Saccharomyces cerevisiae S288C: one gene and its partners. The protein of the gene in region 3 interacts with the protein of the main gene of each other region in a biochemical or structural test. Each region holds a gene or a part of one and is shown on either strand. Other genes may lie near its edges.

What was found. Proteins that work in one complex are often made in the same cells at the same time.
Region 1: the proteins of VPS74 (region 3) and SEC26 form a complex in vitro, tested with the Saccharomyces cerevisiae proteins (2 studies listed by BioGRID).
Region 2: the proteins of VPS74 (region 3) and KRE2 form a complex in vitro, tested with the Saccharomyces cerevisiae proteins (2 studies listed by BioGRID).

Annotation. Positions count from the first base shown.
Region 1 is NC_001136.10:935,101-943,596, forward strand, and holds SEC26 (coatomer subunit beta), read right to left. Parts: upstream 5,717-8,496; coding exon 2,795-5,716; downstream 1-2,794. Other genes in the region: mRNA splicing protein PRP42, read left to right, coding at 1-38; FMN1 (riboflavin kinase), read right to left, coding at 136-792; mitochondrial 54S ribosomal protein uL5m MRPL7, read left to right, coding at 1,515-2,393; YDR239C (uncharacterized protein), read right to left, coding at 5,957-8,320. UniProt on the Saccharomyces cerevisiae protein: The coatomer is a cytosolic protein complex that binds to dilysine motifs and reversibly associates with Golgi non-clathrin-coated vesicles, which further mediate biosynthetic protein transport from the ER, via the Golgi up to the trans Golgi network.
Region 2 is NC_001136.10:1,418,258-1,425,279, reverse strand, and holds KRE2 (alpha-1,2-mannosyltransferase KRE2), read right to left. Parts: upstream 4,124-7,022; coding exon 2,795-4,123; downstream 1-2,794. Other genes in the region: VPS72 (Vps72p), read left to right, coding at 1-460; VPS52 (Vps52p), read right to left, coding at 592-2,517; U2-type spliceosomal complex subunit CWC21, read left to right, coding at 4,442-4,849; alkaline phosphatase PHO8, read left to right, coding at 5,030-6,730; DIG2 (Dig2p), read right to left, coding at 6,910-7,022. UniProt on the Saccharomyces cerevisiae protein: Mannosyltransferase that transfers an alpha-D-mannosyl residue from GDP-mannose into lipid-linked oligosaccharide, forming an alpha-(1->2)-D-mannosyl-D-mannose linkage. Required for the attachment of the third mannose residue of O-linked saccharides.
Region 3 is NC_001136.10:1,218,240-1,225,576, forward strand, and holds VPS74 (Vps74p), read right to left. Parts: upstream 3,911-7,337; coding exon 2,873-3,910; downstream 1-2,872. Other genes in the region: DXO1 (Dxo1p), read right to left, coding at 1-871; CTS2 (putative chitinase), read left to right, coding at 1,174-2,709; FRQ1 (frequenin), read left to right, coding at 4,520-5,092; PHO92 (mRNA-binding phosphate metabolism regulator), read right to left, coding at 5,235-6,155; WIP1 (Wip1p), read left to right, coding at 6,518-6,787; bifunctional AAA family ATPase chaperone/translocase BCS1, read right to left, coding at 6,927-7,337.

The sequences.
Region 1 (8,496 bases), 280 kb from region 3:
TGGATACATTAGAGGAAATGTTTACTGAAGAACCTTAGCCAAAAGGCATTGTCATTTATTAAAAGGTATAAATATGTAAATGTATACTTAATGACCGTTAAGAAAAACTACTAGCCTCATCACTCCCGCAGATCTCTATAATTGTTGTTTGAATACTTGATACGGTGGAGTGGCAAGGACAGTCTGCGCAGTCCTAATATCGATATTGATGTCTTCGATCAGAGCTTCCTTAGTAGTGTAGTTCAATTCGGGTCTGATATGACCTAAAATATTGAACTTGACCCTGGCCCCATAAAAATCATTTTTAAAATCATGTATAATATGTAATTCCATGGTTTTGAAATCATTTCCGTAGAATGGATTTTTCCCAACTGAAAGTACCATAGGAAGTACGGACAAATCATCGTTCGCTTCACTTAAATATTGACCGTAATTATAAACCACAGTTCTTCCATCCCGCCTTGTTTCCACCGATAGTTCTTGACCATCAACAGTTTTAATGTGAGCAAACCCAAAGTAAACCCCTAAATCCAAATCGTTGATACCTTTAGGTAACTGATTTATAGGTACATTGGCAGTGGGAATACCCAATTCGGCGGATCCGCGGCCAAATCCACATACAATGTCACAATAGTCAGTAACAAGCGGGAATGGTGGACCTGGTTGCGCAGGTATTGGCAAATCGACTTCTCGTTTAAAAGTATCAATTATATCTGTATTCGTATTTCGGTTCATTAAGAAAGTACCTGCTAACACTAGCAATAACGAAACATAAATAGTCCACGTAAACATCAACACTTCAACAACACGTGTCTGTGACCGCTTCACGGGTCCAAATTACCACTTTCTAGAACATTGTCTTGTACGTCCAATAATAGTGTTACCAATGCTGACAGAGTATTAAAGCAACGATTTGAATTGACGCATTACCCTCCTGCATAAAGGACTACAAATACATCCTCTCTTATAACGCAATTGCAACATCTGAAGTGCAGTGTGATCAAGATATTCAATTCTCTATTAGAGTAACTTAATCATGTTTCACATGATCAGTATTCATTGTAAAACCTCTTGAGTGTGATTCGTTGCCAACTAACATAAGCGTGCGGATTCTTTAGAAAGTGGGTGTGCCGACCCTGGGAAAGATTGCATAATGTGAATCCTTAATGACTTACCCATACTCTTCATTAATAACCTATTTAGAAAAAGAAGAAAGGCTGTTTCGGAGCTCCTTTTGTGCTGTTTGCAAACTGTCTATTTTCGCATCAAGTTTTACCCATCTACTACTTTATTCGCTTTACGGTAAAAGCGAACACGACAAAATCACCTATCATCTACGAAGGGCCTTTCGAAAACAGAAGAATAAAAAGACAGGAAAAGCATCTGTTTAGAATTTTATAACTAATTTGGGGAGGTATCTGTAAAGTAATAGACAGGACCGGAAATAGTGTAAATACTCTCCTTTGTTTTTTTAGTTGTACCACTTTGAAGAGGGCTCGAGATTCACGAACAAAATGCAAAGGTTTTCACTAGTCACTCACAGATCATTCTCTCACTCCTGTGTGAAGCCCAAATCTGCATGCTCTTTGGTCAAACCAGTTCATCACTTGGTGAAAATTGATAAGTCAAAGTTATCCCCTAGATTTCCAGAATTGAAATATGACAAAAGTGATATTAGGTCACCTGGATTTAAACCAAAAGACACTCATGCAGATAGACTCAATGACCATTACCTTAACACTTTACAATCTGATTTGTTATTGATTAATTATTCACATAACGCTGCGGTGGTAAAGGGTCTAAAACAAAGAGCGTGGAGTGGTGATTCGCCATACCACTTGAACAGACCACCGAAAAATCCTCGAGGTTCGAAAGCTCAACTACCTGACATTCATCCTATCAAATGGAGTAACATTCCTGGGCTAGAAAGTGTTGTAATAAACTGTTTTGTTAGGGAAGCGAGAGAAAATCAGCTATTGGCTATCACCGCTGCGTTACAATTACAACAAATTACTGGATGTAAACCTCATCCAATTTTTTCCAAAAATGATGTTCCAACCTGGAAACTGAGAAAAGGTCATCAGATGGGAGCTAAAGTCGAACTAAAGGGAAAAGAAATGTCTCAGTTCTTAAGCACATTGACCGAAATCGTCCTACCAAGAATCAGAGAATATAAAGGTATAAGCAACCAGTCTGGGAACAGATTTGGTGGGATTAGTTTCGGCCTGACGGCTGAAGATATCAAATTCTTCCCTGAAATCGATGCAAACCAGGACTCATGGCCTAAAACTTTTGGTATGCACATAAATATAAACACCTCAGCTCAATTAGATTACCAGGCGAGAACTTTGTTGAGTGGGTTCCAGTTCCCATTTTTCGGAGAGGAGAAATAAGAATACAATCTCATGGTCCTGGCCAGTTAGCCATGCTCTATGGCAGAAAGGCAAAGGGCATATATAATTTCCCATTCGTCATGTAAATATATAAACTGTACAAGATACTATCTCTCTCCATTTTTCAATCATATAGTTCTCTTTGGGGCACTGAGATGTCTACAAATTGTTATAAAATTGGACGTCTCTTACACAACTCACAACTCAACTCTGTATAAAGATTTTTAGGAAAGAAAATGTACATAAAAGTGAATACTTGTTTAAAAATGAGAACAAAGATTCCTACGCAATTAAAATCTATTTAAAGATTTTCCTTATTTTTTTATTTCTTTTCGAATTTTTTAAGTTTTATTCTTATCTCCTTTGACATTATAACTTACATTGCATCAGCTCAGGGTGGTTCAAACATGAGTGAGAGCAAGTTTATTGGTCTTCTTAGCAATCAATGCCACTCTGTCACCTAGGGACAGAGCCAAACCTTGTCCCTTTGATCGGATACGAACATAACCTATGACATCATTGGTTTTGGAATCCTTTTCGATACACAAGTTGGCTAGGGCATCTTCACCAAAGGACGACTTCGCATACAGATTACAACTTAAGAACCTACAATCATCTTCTCCCAACGACTCTGATGGTGTTAGAATACCCATATTAGTTCCCTTGACCAGTTCTCTCAAATAAGCATGCAATGTTGGTAGTTGTGATTTGACCGATATTTTGTTCTCCCACTCAAATGCATTCCACATGGTACGGAAATGTTCATCGTCAGCAGTGGCTGGTTTGATATAATCCATAATGTCAACATGAACGTCGTTTAAAATAACATAACGAGCATCTTCACCATGCGCACCATCATAAATAATATTACCGAAAATGACACCTGTGTCAGCAGAGGAAACTTTGACAGTAACAGTGAATTTGTGGAAGCCATGAGGAATCACGTTGGTCTTCTGTGGTGTGTCAATAATCTTCAAATCACCAAGAGTTGCAAATTGCACATGTAGGTTTTTCAATGTTTCTTTCGTTTGATTAACAAGAAGAACATCTAATACGACGTCAAATTGATTGTTTGTAATACAAGCCTCGGCGTAAACTGGATCAGAAAAGCCACATAAAGGTACTATCTTCTTCAGCTTCGAAATACTAGAGCTGCTAGTAGCGTGGATTGCATCTCCTTTCATTGCCAGTTGTAAATCTTCTTCAATACTATCTTTTTGCACATTAGTAGAATCCACACCAGCAAATTGCCTGAAAGAAATCGGCGTATCAATTGGTTCGATGTTTTTGCAACTGTCTTTTAATGCTCTCTTATGCTTGTTCTTCTTTGCAATTTCAATTTGTCTCTTGAATGAGGATTTGGTGGTGTCCAGGAATGCAACCTCCAGAAGTTTAACTTCTTCCTTCTTTTCCTCAGGATTAACTTCATCCAATAAAATAGAAATAGATGTCATAACTCTCTCTAAAGAATCTTCATCAATTTTTTTCTCCACCAAAGAGCTTTGACCCACTCTTACAATACTAACTAAAATTAGTAAAGCTTCCGCCTTTAGAGCATTGATGACAGTTTTGTTCTTGGAAACGTTTTCGAATTTTAAAACAAGTTTAATGATGGTGTTGGCCAGAATGGCAGCTGTGTAGAAATCACCACTTAAAACAAACCGGCGAATTGGAGGTCTAGAATCACGTTCTTCATCGGTAACTGACTTTTGAGAAGTCTTCACATCGAAAGCGCTTTCAGTGGCATACGTACCGTCTGGTAGAATAACTGGACCAGTTGGCTTGGCGGTAGCGTCAACCTCATTTTCTTCGGTGTGTTCTTGGTTTTGTGTTAACTTTTTGATTTCTGATTGAAGGATAGGAACTTCACCTACGCTGTTACGAATGTGCTTCCAACAATGTTGTATCTCACTTTCTCCTTCAGCATACTCACCCATAATCCATAATGCACCGCGGTAAGCTTTAGCAGATCTCACTTTGTCTAGCGTTTGAACCATGTTTTCAAGGATATTGGCTCTAAGTTGTGGGTATTTTTCGATCACTTCTTTGATAAAGGCAATGATACCACTGGCGGCAACCGAGTTTAAATCACCGATGAAATCTAATAATAGCGAAACAACACTTGCTGCCATTTCTACAAAGTTTACAGCCACGGTACGAATAGTTTTTATTAACAATTGTCTGTACTGCATTGCCTTGTCTTGATCTGGGTTATTTACGGTTGTTTGCAGCTCTTTCTTCAAAAGCTGAACAACATCTTCAGCATTTCTGGATGTGGCCAAGTCCATTGAAATATCAAGCGCCTTTGAACGAACGTCTAAATCTTCTGCATTCAAGACTCTCAAAATATCCAGGGTTAACTCTTCCAAAGCACCTACGTTATTAGCATTGATGTCTTGAATACGGTCTAGAACAATTAACTTAATGTTATTATCAGAAACCTTGACGGCCAAGTCAATCAATTTGTTAACCGCAGGAACCAAGACATTTGGATTGGCAGACAACACAGTTAGGGCTAATGCGGTCTCGAAGATGACTTCATCGGAAGTCGTGGTCGAAAGCAGTTCCATCAATAATTCGATATATTGGGCTTTCAAAGCAGGGGTCCTGTTTGCATCTTGTCTGATAAATTGAACAAAGACAGCTTGTAATAAAGGGTCTAGGTTTTCTATATCAGCAATATTGTTCTCTAAATAGTGTAAGGCATTTTCACGATCTAATTCAGCTAACCCAATAAATGCATTTCTTTTACATATTGGATCAGTTTCAGCTACTATGAACGAATTGATGATTTCTTTAGCATCGGGAAGTAAATGTTCGCTGACCTTGAAAATGGAGAAAACTGCTAGGATTGCATACTTACGAACATATGCATGACGGTATTCCAAGCACGCTAAGACAGAGGGAACCATCTGTTCTAAGAGTTCGGCCTCTCTCAATTTCGTTAAAAACCTTAATGTGTTACCTCTAATATATTCATTAGGATGTTGCAAATCGTGTTGAATGGCATTACAGACAAGAATCATTTCATGTCTCAATTTTCCATCTTCAGCTAGTTTGGGAACAATTTCCCAGTAGAAGTACAAAAGCTTTTTTAATTCCTTATTTTTAGAAGGCATGACAAATCTTATTATGTGCATCAACAATTCAGGCATTGGATTTCCTTCCAGCATTGTAACTAAAATTGATTTCATCGTGTCAATTTTTTGTTCATCAGATCCCTTTTCAAGAGCTTTCTGAAAATCGGTACTCGAGTAAGTCTCCATACTCGGAGAAGGATCGAAAACCAACGTGTACGCTGGCTGTGAAGAAAGTGAAGTCATAGGTGCACTCTTGTTCAATAGTTAACTGTGATTACTTTTGTTTATTCTCAAGGCAATCTTAACTGAGTCTTAATGAACGTCAAATTTCACTTGTCGAGCTGTTGTTTTCTGATTTCTTTCTACGTGTAGCGAGTACACGGAAAGAAAAAAAAAACGAAGTGATAAGCTGGGTAATACTTTTCTAAAATGCTGTTCCATAAACGTACATATATGACATCTACAAAACTACAGAGAAGGATATCATTCTGGGTCTGAATCAGGGTTTGCCACACGCAAGCCATGCCCCAGAGAATAGCTGAGGTCTACCACATCAGAGTTCGTTGTGGAGACAGAGTCCTGACGCGATATATTACTTCTAGCATTAGCATCACGATAATCTTGAAGAGAGATATGTGTAGGAAGCTTTTGTCTGTTCACGTAATCATTATCCAGTGTTCCACTTCTCATTCTGTTCTGAGACCTTGTGTAGTAGCTGACTACCGTGTTAGATCTTGACACGGAATCAACAGAACCGTTTTGCCCTCTTTTTTCTCGTAAAGGCGCCATTATATCATCACTGTTATATGCTTCATCACCGGGTATGTCCTTGAGGTAGTCTTCGGCTTGTTCTGCGTCAGTGCCTTCTTTTTTTGAAATAGAGCCAGTTTCATTTTCCTTCCCTAACAATTTATGGAATTCCTTTGTGTGGTCAACATTGATTTTATTTTTCAGCCCTGTAGCGGTTCCATCTGATTCTTCATTTCTTGTCTCCAACGCCAGTAATTTCTGTTTAACTTTACCATGCTTGATACCAATTTGCTTAGAACTTGTCCTCAACTTGACCTTAATATTCTTGGGTTGAATCAAATTATTTTTTTGTTTTAGAGCAACCGGCAAGTTAGGAGGCGCTTGTAAAAAGTTAGAAGTCTTGTAATACTTTAGTCGCAGTTCTTCTACGTAACTAGAAACCAAAGGCACGGACTTTTCCGATTTGTTCGATACGACAGATGTTAACGGTGAACATTTGACAGATCTTTCGCTTGGGGCATCATGTACCGGATTTGGTAAATCCACCGTTGCAGGGATAGTAACTGTGTGTTCATTGAACGAGTGAGCAGCCGGCACTAAACTTTCTGAAATGGAGTTTAAACTGTTTAACTCGGATGTTTTATTTGATGATTTTGTGTTTCCGTTTGAGTCAAGAGCAGCCAAAACAGTTGATTTAGAGCCTTTTGATATAGAAAGTCCTGACTGGCTAGAGAAGTTTGACTTGGCATCATACTCACCAGATGATGCAGTGTCAAAAGAATGCTTGTCGGTTAGACTGCCCGTATCGTTTACACTATTTAAATAGAAACTAGGGCGATCTTCATTAACCACCCTAAATATTCTACGATGACTTGGTAACTCAGGCTCTTGTGTTGAGACGTCATTTTTTATAGATGAGCCTTGATCACTTGCGTAATTTATAAATGCTTTACTTTCACTATCCACAAAACCTTTTTCCTGAAGACCATCATCATCATCCTCGTTGGAAGAACCGCTATCAATCTCATTAGTTATCCGCAGAGGCTTTCTGGCGCTTGCAATACTTCCATCACTCCCAAGGTGCTCATTTGATTTATATGCAAAATCAAAATGTGCAGCTTTAAAACCACTAGATTCGTCTTTAGAAACTTGCTGAAGGCTTTTGGTGGATTTACCACTAGCCGATGTACTAAAGGAAAATTTATCATCCCCATCATCCAGATTCGAAGAAAATTCTTTTAGATGATCTGATTGTACTAAATTTCCGTTACTTGCTTTATTTACTTCTTCATTATCCACAATAAGTGGTTTTACGTAGCTTAAGGAACTCTCCGCGCTGACATTTCTCAAAATGGGAGCTTCCATGACATCTACTGGCAACTTATCTTGCGATGCTTTAGTATCTGAGTTTTCAGACGTGTCTAGGGATAGTGAGCTACCGGAACTTACCTTGTGTTCATTAATGTAATTTTCAATATCATCTACCAACTTTTCTGCTTCTGAACGCTGCCGCCTATGTTGATTGTGGGTGGATGAGATTGCAATACTATCCCGCTCAGAATCATTATTACTCTCTATTTCTTCCTTAGTAGTATTGTTGCTTATTGACGTTGTTATTGACTTCATGTCCATAGGCGGTGGTGGAGGCCTCGAACGTTTTATCTTGGAGAAATGTGCATTTGAATTTGCGCTTGTTGTGAAGGGGTTGGTTCTCTGCCCAATGATGTTGTTTTCTTGTAAATATTCAATTCCTTTGTGATCGTTTCCTGACGCTTCCTTGGACTGTGTTAATTCAAGAGAATCTCCTAAGGTATCCTCAGCATTCAAAAATGGATTAGTATTCTTTAATGTTTCCTTTTGTAATGGTGCCTGGATAGAATGGCTCCTGCTATGAGCATTCCTATTTGGACTTCTTGGCGGTATATCAGGGGCAGAAGTTTCAGCCGTCGAAGTTCGTGCGATATTTGTTGATTTCTTTATTGTAGAGGGCACCGATGGCTTTCTAACGGATTTTTCAGAGTCATTGTTTTTACTTTCAGAACCAAACCGAAAAAAAGACCTTCGTTTACCTTTATTGTTGCTAAAGCCATCAAACATCACTGTATTATTAGACTTTACCTGTAGACTCCTTCAAAACCTGTAATTCGCTTTGCAGAACATGCTATTTCAACATTTTCCCTCTTAAACTTTTGCCAAATAATAATAGTGCGCTCTTTGAATCCGCGATGACATTTGAAAGAAAACATTAAATTAAACTATCGCTTTGCATACGG
Region 2 (7,022 bases), 200 kb from region 3:
ACCTCCTCAGTCTTCAGTACCGTCTCCTACCGTAGATATATCACTTGATCTGTCAGCTCTGGCAAATTTCCCATCTTTTGGGGAATACGATAAGAAAATAGTCCATCAAATCAACACAGAGATAAATAAGGATTTGGAAATCAAAATTAAAACACAGCCTCCAACGGGTGTCTTCTTAGCCAATGGTATAAGAAAAAAATGTTTAATCACAAATAAAGAATGTCAGTACTTTGATCCAAGGACTGGTGTGCCTTATTCTGATGTGGAAGCTTATAAAATTATTCAGCGGATTCAAGATCCTATTTCTAAGGAGGAGGGAAGGTCAGATATCAAGCGTGATGAAACGACAAATGAGGATAGTGACGATCAAGTGAGATTCAAGTGGTTTGGGTTCAAAAACGGCGGTATTTACCTTGATTTAAGTCAAAGACCTGCAAAAGGTGTTCCTGAAGGATTTTAATTGAGACAGACTATATAATGGTAGGTCGTTAAACATTTGACTATATTCCACACAAAATAAGAAATCATAAAGATCATTTTACATAAAAATATACTTTATACGCTCCATGTCTTATACAATCGTTACATTCATCAATTTCTGGTGAAAGCTTCAACTAAAGTTTTGAAATGATTTTCGGTCTCTCTGATTATTAGTGGTACGCTTGAATCATTATCGTCGTCATTCGCAACTTTCGTACCAACATTTTCAGCAGAATCAAAATTGTAGTTTTGTGCATCCGAGTCATTTATATTTAAATGTAGATGCAATTGCTGTAGGTTATTGTATAAATACATGTAATTTGTAGCCAGAAATCTTTCTGGTGATTTCGTCTTTTTACTGCACTTTGTCATGACTGTTTCGAAATCATTTCTTAATCTAATGATGGAATTGTATAAGGGTTCAGATCTTTCGTCTATGGACTGCTTATGTGTTATTGCCAACGTCAAGAAGCTTGATAAAAATTTACCGAACTGTACAGTTAACTCATGAGGTGAGGTCAAAGGGCTACTATTGGATGTGCTTGAGTTGCCGGCATATTTTGCCACATTTGTAGTTATTGCCGCTTTTCGTAAGCTCTCGCATTGAAAATCGACCAATTGCTGAAATCGAGGCCATAATTGAATTAATTGACCATTCAAGAAACTATCAAACATAGACGGTATTCCTCTCCTTTCTGATTCAAATTGTAATTGATTGGCCACACGAATACTTATTAATACACCAAAAATGTCATAATTATATTGGATCAGTTGTTGAGTGTATGTTGTGGCTTCATCAAAAGTTGGTTGAAATATTTGTTCCAATAAACCATTAATTTCCTCAAAATTATCGCCATTCATAGCGAAGAAATCTTTTAAAAAATGGTACTCCACCGTACAGTTATCTAAAATTGCAAGGTTTAAATTTTTAAATCCAATTTCAATGTAGTTTTTCGTTGTGTTATTTTCTGCAATTTGGGATACCATTACCGTATTGTCTTCTTGTGTTAAAATGTTCAATCTTTTCTTTATCTGAAAGTATTTATCAATTTTCTCATCTGTTACAGGGAGTTTATTATAGAAAGCATTTGAAGCGGATGTAGTTAGATAATTTGAGAAAAACAATGATGGTGAATTGTTAAACCCACTCACTGAAGTTGTAGAAAGGCCATTACCCAATGCAAATTGCGAGTCGATTTGTTGAAATTGCAAAATAGTCAATGACCTGATATATCTAGAAAAGTATTCTCTATAATACCATTTCATTGTGTAACAATATGCCTGTCTTAACTCAAGGGCTAAGGAGAGATTATTATCTCTTATGAAGGGGAAAATTTTTTGAACTTTTAATAATTTGTTTTGTATCCTTTGCGATGGTACTGGGTTATGACTCCTCAAAGTTTTGATTTTGGAAATAATAAGTCTTTTCGACCTTTCTAGAATAACATTTTTTAGGATGTCCAGGAGTTGACATAACTTATCAAAATCCTTTGGTGCTAGCATTGCTGAATTTTCTGCGTCCTTGTTGTCTTGATCGAGATTATTGGACCTATACTTGTTATAAATTTCTTCTTTATCTGCTATGAATGTTATATTATCCTGCCAGCTTTCATTGATCTTCCCTTTAATGATGTCATCAATGAGTTCAGGAGGAATCATCAAATCATTAACCATAGGAGAGATATGTGCCAGTTTAGTGGAGTTGTATTCGAGCAATGACTGTAATTCATTGGACTTTTTTTTAATGAAGTCTAAATCTTGTGTGTAATTTGATAACCTATTAGTGAATTCGGTTAAGTAATCAATCAATTGAGGAATAATTATATTAATAGCCGCTTCATTGTTAGAATGAGTTTCCTGTAATGATTTAAGTTTAGCAAATGGTGACTGATCTTTGTTTGAAGGCGCTTTAAATTTACAATCCTTCAAATAGTTTTCAAAAGGATCATCCGTTTCATTTGTTTTATCTCGGCTCGTTTCCTTCAGCTGGTCAAATTTATCTTGGTCTAGTGACAACACCTCTTTGAGAACATCCATAGTTCTATGTCTTCAGCTAATTTTTTTACGCTTTTGTTGCTTATAGCTTATTCCTCTTTCCTCTCACTTGTAAAAACTCTTGATATACCTTATATTTTTTCGAACTATTCTCGGAATACGCTAATGAGAATAAAAATATTCGAATCTTTAAAAAAAATGTGGATTGCCTCACTTATATGTTTGATACGCAGTCCTATGTGTACTTAACCAGTTATAAAAATAAAATATAAATAGAAAGTATAAAGTCAAAACAAAGAAACAGTATGTTCCAAGATTTCTACTCACGGAATTTTTTCCAGTTTTTTGGCTTTACCAACCCTTGAGCATCATAATATTCCTTACCACAAGAGTAACCTTGGAAAGTGAAATCATTACCTTGGTCACATTCACAGTTGTTACTGTTATAGACCTCCTTGTCCAATGGGCAGTTATCATAAGGTGGATGATGGTAACCAATGTCTGAAAAATAATGGATTTTATCCTTTGGCAAAAACAAAGCAGCAGCAATAGAATGAACGGGAGCATCGCCCCATCTTTCGTAGAAAAATCCACCTTGATGATCCAAAGTGTCAAAATACTCTCTGTAGGCTGGTGACCTCCACAAATTCAAGTTTGCAATTTCAAAGTTTGACCAGAAATGGCACAGATTGTATGTTTTACCATTATCGTTCGAAAGAAAACTCATCAGGTTGTTTTCATCTAAGTATTCGGGGTTCTTTTTGATGAAATCCATGGACGTTTGCCATAGTGTTGGGATCGTCACTTCATATTCATGAATAGAAACGGTAAAGCCGTAAACTTTTTCGTTTTCTTGCATCCACTTAAAAACGTCGTAATTAATATCACAGTATAACTTGATGTCTGGTTCCACACGCCAGTACCAATCGTACTCTTCTAATAATTCATGTCTCCAGAAAAACCCAGATTGGTAACGACACATGTGTCTATAAGATTCGGAGCCACCGTATATGTATTTGGTGGCAGCATCTGCACGAATTTCAGCAGCCTTGGTTTGATTAATCCATTCAGGATATGACCAATGTTCCTTGGGCAAAATACCAAACTTAACTTCGGAAGAAACAGCTTTGGTGACTGCTTCCTTGAATTCTTCAGTAAAAGGTTCATCGTTTAGGAAAACCCAAGGATATGGGAATTTCTTGTTAATTTTGTTTTCCACATATTTAATGGAGCTTAGCAAACCTTTCAACTCCTTGTTTCTCACCAAAGTGACGTAACAAGCTTTTGGCTTACCAGCTTTGTTAGCAAAAGATGGAGTGATATAATCCATGGTTGTTTTAGTGTCGATCGGGGCATCTGCCTTTTCAGCGGCAGCTTTCAGAGCCTTGGATTCTTCATCCATGGCTTCGGAGTCTTCGCTTGCCTCTGAATTCAGAGCACTTTGCTCTAATTTTTTAGCATCATTTTCCTCAGAGATGACTTGTTGTTCAGGGGATATAGATCCTGAGGTAAAATCAAATGCAGCGGAGATGGAACTCGGAATATATTGCTGAGTTCTACTGTTGGAATTCAATGTTAGGAGGAGAACAATAACCGCACCTGCAATGACGGTAAATCTCAACAGTCTCTTACTGAGAAAGAGGGCCATGCTTTCGAGTGGAACTGCTTGCGAATATGGATATCACTTCCAGTATTATAGATTCATAAAATGTATAAACGAATTAAATCGCAAATTATCTCCTTTTCAGACTGTTTCTTCACCAAATTTCTTTTTTTTTTCCTACTAGAAGAAGGCGTAGCAGATAAGAAGGAAAAATTATATTAAGCGTGCGGGTAAAGGCAAGGAAGAATCAAGTAAGACCTCAAGAATGGCACTATAAGTGTGGTATTATAATCTGTGTAATCCTAATTTGAGCTCTACACAATACCATTCGACGGTTAACAGCTACTGCATCACCGTCCAGTCATGTCGTACAACGGAATAGGGCTCAAGTCGGCAAAAGGGTCATCTACGTCGGGCCACGTGCAGCGATCACTTGCTAGCAACAATAGGCGCAGACCACAGGGTAGTCAACAGCAGCGGCAACAACGACAAAATGCGATCAAAAAGGCCAGCCATGACAAGGCAAGCAGGCCTCTTGCTGTGCAGAAACAGATAGAGACTCATATGGAGAAACGTGAGATTGAAGTACAAGTTAGCGAGCTACGGGACCGACTGGAGGAGGAAGAAACGCTCTCGGAAGAGCAGATTGACAAGAAATGTGAAGCGTTGAGGGCAAAACTGACGAACGAGTGGCAAGAACAGCAGCGGATGTCCTCTTTGTACACCCCTCGTAAGGCGCGTCTAACGGAAGAGCAGCATCGACATGAATAGCAGCATTGACGATAGCGATAAGCTTCGCGCGTAGAGGAAAAGTAAAGGGATTTTAGTATATAAAGAAAGAAGTGTATCTAAACGTTTATATTTTTTCGTGCTCCACATTTTGCCAGCAAGTGGCTACATAAACATTTACATATCAGCATACGGGACATTATTTGAACGCGCATTAGCAGCATGATGACTCACACATTACCAAGCGAACAGACACGTCTTGTTCCTGGATCTGACTCGAGCTCTCGTCCTAAAAAGAGACGGATCTCGAAGAGATCAAAGATAATAGTATCCACTGTGGTCTGTATTGGTTTGTTGCTGGTTTTAGTGCAACTGGCATTTCCAAGCAGTTTTGCATTACGTTCTGCATCACACAAGAAGAAGAATGTCATATTCTTCGTGACGGATGGGATGGGACCTGCGTCTTTGTCCATGGCAAGATCATTCAACCAGCATGTTAATGATTTACCTATAGACGACATCCTGACACTTGACGAGCATTTTATCGGGTCTTCGAGAACAAGGTCCTCGGACTCACTAGTCACTGACTCAGCTGCGGGCGCCACCGCATTTGCATGTGCATTAAAGAGCTATAATGGGGCCATCGGTGTTGATCCGCATCACAGACCTTGTGGTACAGTGCTCGAGGCGGCTAAGTTAGCAGGTTATCTCACTGGGCTTGTTGTTACGACAAGAATCACAGATGCCACTCCGGCTTCATTCAGTTCACATGTTGATTACAGATGGCAGGAAGATCTTATCGCTACGCACCAGTTAGGCGAATATCCTCTGGGGAGAGTAGTAGACTTACTCATGGGTGGCGGCAGGAGCCATTTCTACCCTCAAGGCGAAAAGGCTTCTCCATATGGTCACCACGGTGCTAGAAAAGATGGAAGAGATTTAATCGATGAGGCTCAATCTAATGGCTGGCAGTACGTGGGTGACCGTAAAAATTTTGATTCTTTGTTGAAAAGCCACGGTGAAAACGTTACTTTACCTTTCTTGGGTCTCTTTGCAGATAACGACATTCCTTTTGAAATTGACAGAGATGAAAAGGAGTATCCTTCCCTTAAGGAACAAGTCAAGGTGGCTTTGGGTGCCTTGGAAAAAGCTTCCAATGAGGACAAAGATTCTAATGGGTTTTTCTTAATGGTGGAAGGCTCCAGAATTGATCATGCTGGTCACCAAAACGATCCAGCTTCGCAGGTAAGGGAGGTGTTGGCTTTCGATGAAGCATTCCAATACGTTTTGGAGTTTGCTGAAAATTCCGATACGGAGACTGTTTTGGTCTCTACGTCGGATCATGAAACGGGTGGTTTAGTCACTTCAAGACAAGTCACTGCTAGCTATCCTCAGTATGTCTGGTATCCACAGGTGCTCGCCAACGCCACCCATTCAGGTGAGTTTTTGAAAAGAAAACTAGTAGATTTTGTTCATGAGCATAAGGGCGCAAGCAGCAAAATAGAAAATTTCATCAAACATGAGATCCTGGAAAAAGATTTGGGTATTTACGATTACACGGATAGCGATTTAGAAACATTAATTCATTTGGATGACAACGCAAATGCTATCCAAGACAAACTGAATGACATGGTATCATTTAGGGCCCAAATTGGCTGGACCACGCATGGTCACAGCGCAGTCGACGTCAACATATATGCATACGCCAATAAGAAAGCTACATGGTCATATGTCTTGAACAATTTACAAGGCAATCACGAAAATACGGAAGTTGGCCAGTTCTTAGAAAACTTTTTAGAATTGAACCTGAACGAAGTCACTGATTTGATTAGGGACACCAAACACACATCAGATTTTGATGCTACAGAAATAGCTAGTGAAGTACAACATTATGACGAATACTACCATGAGTTGACCAACTGATCCTATCTAACTCTCCCTCTTTTTTCACATATTATTTAATACGTTATAATTTATTTGAATATATATATATATATATATATGTATATATACTAACCGCATGACACGTACTGTATCGCATTTCGTTTCGGAGTGCAGGCGAGTTTTAGGTGCATTCTATAGCGTGAAGAAGTGAAATCTCGTCATTTCTTCAAGTTATGCCATTCAGTCCAGATTGTTTCACATGCTTTCATATAGTCATTTTTGTCGTCGCGAACTTCAAATTTGAAAACATCATCATACAGAGAGATTTCTC
Region 3 (7,337 bases):
GAATTAAAAGACCAATTTCTTCTGAAAGTTTACTCTCTACAAGAGAAAAAATAGGACATTTAGAGCCAGTTAAATCAGCGACTTTGGAATTTTCGGTTACCCAATTTTCAAATTCAAATCCTGAATAGCAAATTTTCTTCATATTTGGATCATTTGAATAAATGCCCTCTTTGGACATTTGAGAATCTTTTTTTACATTTCTGCAAAATGAAAGAAGGCCCGCCCCCATATAAGTTACAATTAGTGACGTTTGTCTATTTCGCCTGTTAAAGAGATGCATAGTCAAATCTACGATATGATGTCTTGTGGTTACAACAGTAAATTTCTTGCCGATCTTAAAATCCTTACCAGGATTATCTAGTATCCAGTTCTCAATGTATGAAAAACACGGTGATACACTATCTAATTCGGATATTGTCATGGGAACGAACTCATCAATATTAGCAAATAAGTCATGGCCTAAATACGGGACTTTCCGCTTTTTTGCCTCAAGAAGCGAGCTTTCATACAATTCAGCAATACTTTCTTTCAAATTTGGTATAAGGTCTTTGCGTAGGATTGTATAAGCCCGGCCATTGGTAAACAGAGCTACTTCTTTACTTTCATGAAATATATCTCTTGGTGGTTTCGTCAAAAAATTGTGCATACCAGTATGCAGAAAAGACGTATATGGGATACATATAAGTTTCGGACGTCTCTTTCTATAATTGTCTCTCTGTTGTGAAGGCTTCCTTGACGAAGATGAATCAGAAGTAGTTTTCTCTTTGCATAATTTACTTTGGTGTCCTCTCTCGAGATTGGGCACAGTAAGCAAATTTATACCTTCTAAATCTTTGGCCAATCCAAGAACAGCATCTTGTTCAGTTGACATAACTGAGTTTGGCTAGAAAGAAAACTTTGACATAAAATCATCGATACCTACAACTGGCGCTGTAATGCAACAATGCCATTATAAAAGTAAAACATGCTGCGAAAATTGCGGAAAAACTGGAAAAATCAATAGTGGGGTAATCCCAGTTAGTTTGACACAATAATTTGGTGATTTTGGTGGAATAATCATTATTTGTGAGGATACACCAACGAAAAGAACCTTTTGTGGTAGTATGGTCCAACAATTGTATTTGCAGGTTGGTACTAACAACCTCTATAAGTAGACGATACAAGAGTGATCATATGGTAGGACACTCAGCTCAGCACAGATCAAAAAGCAGCTTAGTGTCTCACCTACTAATACTACTTATCTTTATAACGATTATTATTGAAATGTGTTTATATAATAAAATTTTTAAGAACCAAAGGTCGGATGATATTAGAGACAACTTTAACAATGGCGGACATCGAGTTCCCAGTAATGTCCAAAATCATGGAACCCATATAAGAGACGAAGCCTTTATATCAGGGGTCTATTATTCCAATTGGTCCCCATACAAACCGAGGTTTCATTTCCCTCACGACATAAACTTGAAGCAAGTGTCTCACATTTACTATGCATTTTTCAAAATAAACTCTAGAACTGGTGGTATAGAAAACACGGATAGTTGGTCTGATCTAGAAATGAATTTGTATAAATCGCTGGCAATTAAAAATTCAGAACTAATTAAAGAAAGCTCGAACAATAGTGTCCAAAACATCCTACCCTTAGGTTGCATTGGTGAACTATTTTATTTGAAGAATACCTGTTCTGATAAGAAATTTAAAGTTATCATGTCAATTGGGGGCTGGTCTGATAGTGAAAATTTCAAAATCATAATTAAAGATGATAAACTCTTACAAAATTTTGTTGATTCGTCGGTGGAAACAATGTTCAGATTAGGATTTGATGGCATTGATCTAGACTGGGAGTTCCCTGGTAACAATGAATCAGAACCTCGCGGATATCTGAAACTGGTCAGAATGCTGCGATTAAAACTAAACAGCCTCGAATCCCAAATATTTGGGAAACGTACTGAAGATCATTTTCAATTATCTATTGCGGCACCTGCATTCAAGGATAAATTATTTTACTTGCCAATCACAGAAATTGATCAATATGTTGACTACTGGAATATGATGACGTACGATTATTATGGCTCGTGGTCAGAAACAACAGGATATCACAGCAATCTATTCAGTGAGACGGAATTGAATGGAAACTTTGCCATGCATTATATGATCGATAGATTTGGCGTCAATTCTAGAAAATTAGTACTGGGAATGGCCGCCTACGGAAGAAGTTTCCATATCAAAGATAACAAATTCGAACCATTCAATCAAAATACTGTATTAATTAACAAAATTTTCAAAGGAGTGGGCAAGCCCACTAAAGAAATAGATAAAGCTGATGGCAAGGAGGGCATCTGGCCTTACAAAAATTTACCAAAGATTGGTACAATAGAACAATACGATCCAAAATATGTTTCAGCATATTGCTTTGATGAAAAAAATTCAATATTTATCAGTTATGATAACACTAAATCAGTCAAAACTAAGGCTGAATATGTGACACATAACAATTTAGGCGGAGGCTTTTGGTGGGAGTCATGTGGTGAAGCTTATGCAAATGAGTCAAGGTCGTTGATAAACGCATTTAATGAAGGCTTGCACTTTAATGTGTCATCAAAACCATCAATATTTCAAGATGTGAGAGTTAAAAAATATTACTTGAATAAATATGGCGATGGCGGATTTTTATCTCCATATTTAAAGCATTTGGATTCAAGAAAGCAATGAATACGAATGTGGGCGTATATAATAACAAAAAGTTTGGTCTATTTATTATCCACTCCGTATATGTATATACATATATACAAATTTCGTTTATTAATGTTAGAGGCTTATAAAAAAAAGCTTGACTTTTCCTTATGTTTCAAAGAGAGGATTTTTGTTGTTATTTTCATAATAGCATATCCATTCTTGAAAAGACTTCAAATACACCAGCAATAACTTCCAATTGTAAATCATGACCAGGATTGTTTTCTATCTCTTCTTTAACTTCCTTGTTTAAATTAACGGAGACACCTAACTCAGTTTCCTTTTCTAAATCAAATGGGTATTGCGAAAATTGTGCCATTATTTCTTCAGCTCTACTAATTGCCTTATCTCTCTTCTCATATTCCAACGTAGTCAGGACATTCTCCAATACGTTTGCCCCATATGATCCACATATTAAAGCTAAAGTTCTAATGATTTTGAAAGATGTTGTCTCCGGAAAATATTCATTGTAACTTAATTCCATGTTCCTCGATACGAGTACAGAAAGTACTCTGCGCTTAATGGCTTCTTTGCAGCTGGCGTCTGCAATGGGGTGTGTCGCCATGTCAAACAAAAAGAAATTTTTCATTTCTGTTCTCAATACACCTTTATCGACCAAACCTTTTGCCAATCTTTCCCTTACTTGTTTCAATTGATAGTTGATCTTTAAAAGGTTCCATGTTTCACCACTTAAAAGATCAATCCAGTTAGAAATTGACAAAGGTTCGTCGTTTTTCATCAATTGCAAAGTTTCATCCAGTAAAACTTCCCCAGTTTTGGAACTGTCAATAACTTCAATCAACCTTTCGGAAAGATCGAACCTTTTCCTGGCGGAATCATCTAAGATTCTGATTTTACCTCTTAACGCTAATTCTATAATTATACAACCACGCAAAGCATATGAAATACTATCATTCCAAAACGACAAATATCCTTCTCTATCTCTTAAGCCCATCAATAAGACTTCTTCCATCAACGTTAACGTAGGGATATTGATGTTGTCTCTCAATTTCGATTCTTCTGGGTCATATGCAATCTTTTTGTTTGTTCCATTGTCATCATCCCCGTCAACAGCAATATTTGCGATTTTGTCTCCTTTGGTATTGTTAGCAGAAGAATGAATGGAGGAAGTATCTCCAGAATCCGCCCTATTGACTCTACGACGTTGTAAAGTAGACATGATTTTTGCTTTGTATTTTTTTAGATAGTTTTTGTTTGAATTCTTTTACGTTATCAGATCAAAAGTTGTAATGAAAATATAGCCAACAATGAAACTGCTAATTTAGCTCTATTTGTTAGCGTGGAAATTTGAAATTTATTTTTAATCTATAAATGCAGCAGCCCAAACCGAAACAAAAGAATAAGTGAGTTGAACAGAGTAAGCAACGGGCCGATATAGAACTGAAAAAGTCAACGTACCCAGAAAGCAATTAACTGCGACACAAATAGATGTCAATGTCCAAAAAGGATAGATAAACAAGATTACGATCCAAGGCAGGGATCTAATTGTTTTTAGGTAAATGCGTACCCATTAGCCTCTTTTTTTCAGTAGTAGTTGACTGCTCAGGAAGTAAAAAAATGAGCCAGAATTGATCATTAAAAACGAAAAAAGGGTAACTCTTCGGTGTATTTTTTATTATTATACCATAGAGTACTGAAATAATGTTTAATTTGTCAACGATTGAACTGATGAACTAGGGATATTACCTCCTGTTTTATAATTGTTGCTAGTTTAAGAATCGGCGAGAGTTATTTTGTGCTTGAAAACTGTTTTTGATTCAAAAAAAAAATGGGAGCCAAGACGTCAAAGCTTTCCAAAGATGACCTGACATGTTTGAAACAATCCACCTATTTTGATAGAAGAGAAATCCAGCAATGGCATAAAGGATTTTTGAGGGATTGCCCTAGTGGCCAACTAGCTAGGGAAGATTTTGTTAAGATATACAAACAGTTTTTTCCATTTGGTTCTCCTGAAGATTTTGCTAATCACCTTTTTACAGTTTTTGATAAAGACAACAATGGATTCATACATTTTGAAGAGTTTATCACAGTTTTGAGTACAACGTCCAGAGGAACTTTGGAGGAAAAACTGAGCTGGGCTTTCGAACTTTATGATTTGAACCATGATGGATATATTACATTTGATGAAATGCTAACCATTGTGGCGAGTGTTTATAAAATGATGGGGTCTATGGTTACACTTAATGAGGATGAGGCAACGCCCGAAATGAGGGTAAAGAAGATCTTCAAGTTGATGGATAAGAACGAAGATGGTTACATTACGCTGGACGAATTCAGAGAAGGTTCTAAAGTCGATCCCTCTATTATTGGTGCCTTAAACCTTTACGATGGCTTAATATGAAAACTTTGTTTTTGCTTCTTATGGATTGGATGTTATAACAGTAGAAGTAATTTTAGGATAATTTTAAATAAAAATAATATTAAAAATAATAATAATACTAATAATAAATGAGAATAAAATGTTGATAAATGAGGGATAAGGTCTATTCATACGTCTCATCCAAGAAGGAGAAAATATCAGAATCTTGAGTTTTAAATAGATTAATTATTGAAATTCCAATCGAATATGGAATTTCTTGAGTATCTCTGGAATGTGTTATCGGTTTCATTTCATTGGATGGTATCAAAAACCTTTTTAACGATCTGTTATTTATATCACGCACGATCACCCATCTTACTTTAAAGGCTTTGCCATATTTTTGTTCATCTTCCCATATACTGGTGTCCAAATCCATTTTCAAATCCGATACCATTTCTGCAACGCCACAGAATCTTCCTGATGTGTTGATTGAAAAAAATAAAAACACTTTGGCTCCCGAATTAAGCTTTTTATATGCCTCAGATAGCCTTTTGTTGCCGAAATGAGTAGACGACCAAATTCCGTTGTAAAACGACCTTTTGACATGCTTCAAAGACGAGGACTTTATTACAAAAAATCTTGAGTTTTCTGGAATATTTAACCAAGGGGGAATAATTGCAGCACTTTTTCTTTTATTAATTTCATTGAAAGTTTGTTCTTTAGTTGACTGCTGCAAATACCTTGGTTTGGATAAATATTCCCTGTAATAATTATTATTGCTATTATCAGATTGGTTGTAGTCTCTAGAAAAGGAGAAATGCCGATTTAAATTTGAGCTTGTCAATGGAATACTATTAATCTGGTGTGTATAGTTTTCATGAGTGATCTCTTCTTTATTTTCTTTCTTGTTAATATCATTTAAAGCTGTGACATCGTTCTTTAGCTTTGGGTTTGTTTGTACTTCAATATGAGTTCTCTCCAAGGAATGGATCAACCCATCTAGTTCTCTTAAAGAGTCTTCAATTGTCCTGTCATTTCTCTTATTTTCTTTCCATTCAGAGTTGAAGTAAAAATTTGGGGGACCTGTAGACCAGATTTGATTCATTTTTAGAGCACAACGCAATACTTACGTCACACCAGCCGTAGACGATATCTTCCTTTCTTAACGAAATAGTAACAGAGGACACAATCTGAAAACTTCTTTTGCGATTCATAACCAACAGAAAATTTTGGAGGAAAACAATGTAGCTGTATAAATATATATATATATATATGTATGTATACTTATTTATTTATATATATATCACAAAAGGCTACCAAAAAGATTAGCCGCCGAGGTACATCGTGAGGAGTGATATTCTGGGGAAACGGGTAGCGATTTCGTGTCTATTTTCGGTCACCAAGTCAACGTTACTTACTGTCGTATAACCAAAGTACAACAATAGCAACAGTTCCTAACATTCTTCCATGGATACGGAAGCATTGGCCAATTATTTGCTACGGCAGCTTAGTTTAGATGCGGAGGAGAATAAGCTAGAAGATCTTCTCCAACGGCAAAATGAAGATCAAGAGTCTAGTCAAGAATATAACAAGAAATTATTATTGGCATGTGGATTTCAGGCCATTTTAAGAAAAATTCTGCTGGATGCTAGAACAAGGGCAACTGCAGAAGGTTTGAGGGAAGTATATCCTTATCATATTGAAGCTGCAACGCAGGCTTTTCTGGATAGTCAATGAAGGGGTATTTTTAAGCCTCTTTATCATATACTCTTTTGTTCGTAATAGCAAATAACTCGGTCTTATTAACGAGAAAAAGTTAAAGCATCTTCTGAATTTTTATTATATACAAGTTATGTAGTAAGGCGCCACTTAGCACCTAGAAAATATGATTAGCGTTCCGTAAGCTGGAGACCATTTTCAACGCATCGTGTGGTGCATCTTTATTCATAACGAAAAGTCCTTGCAACTGGGCGGTACTTACGGTGATATCCAATTCTTTAACACTATTTACAAACTTTTTGCATATATCAGTCTCACCTGGGTAAAATTTCATAAACATTTTTTCTACCTGGTATGGAGTTGCGTTACCAACGAAGACTTTGTAGTCAATACGACCTGGTCTCATTATAGCCGCGTCTAGCTTTTCAGGATGATTGGTAGTCATGAATGTAATAGTTTCTTCAGAAGATGTGACGCCATCCAGGGCATTCAGTAAACCGCTAAATGTTACGCTAGAATGAAAACCTTGTTCACCAGTTTGACTTCTTTTGTTGAACGCCGCGTCAAT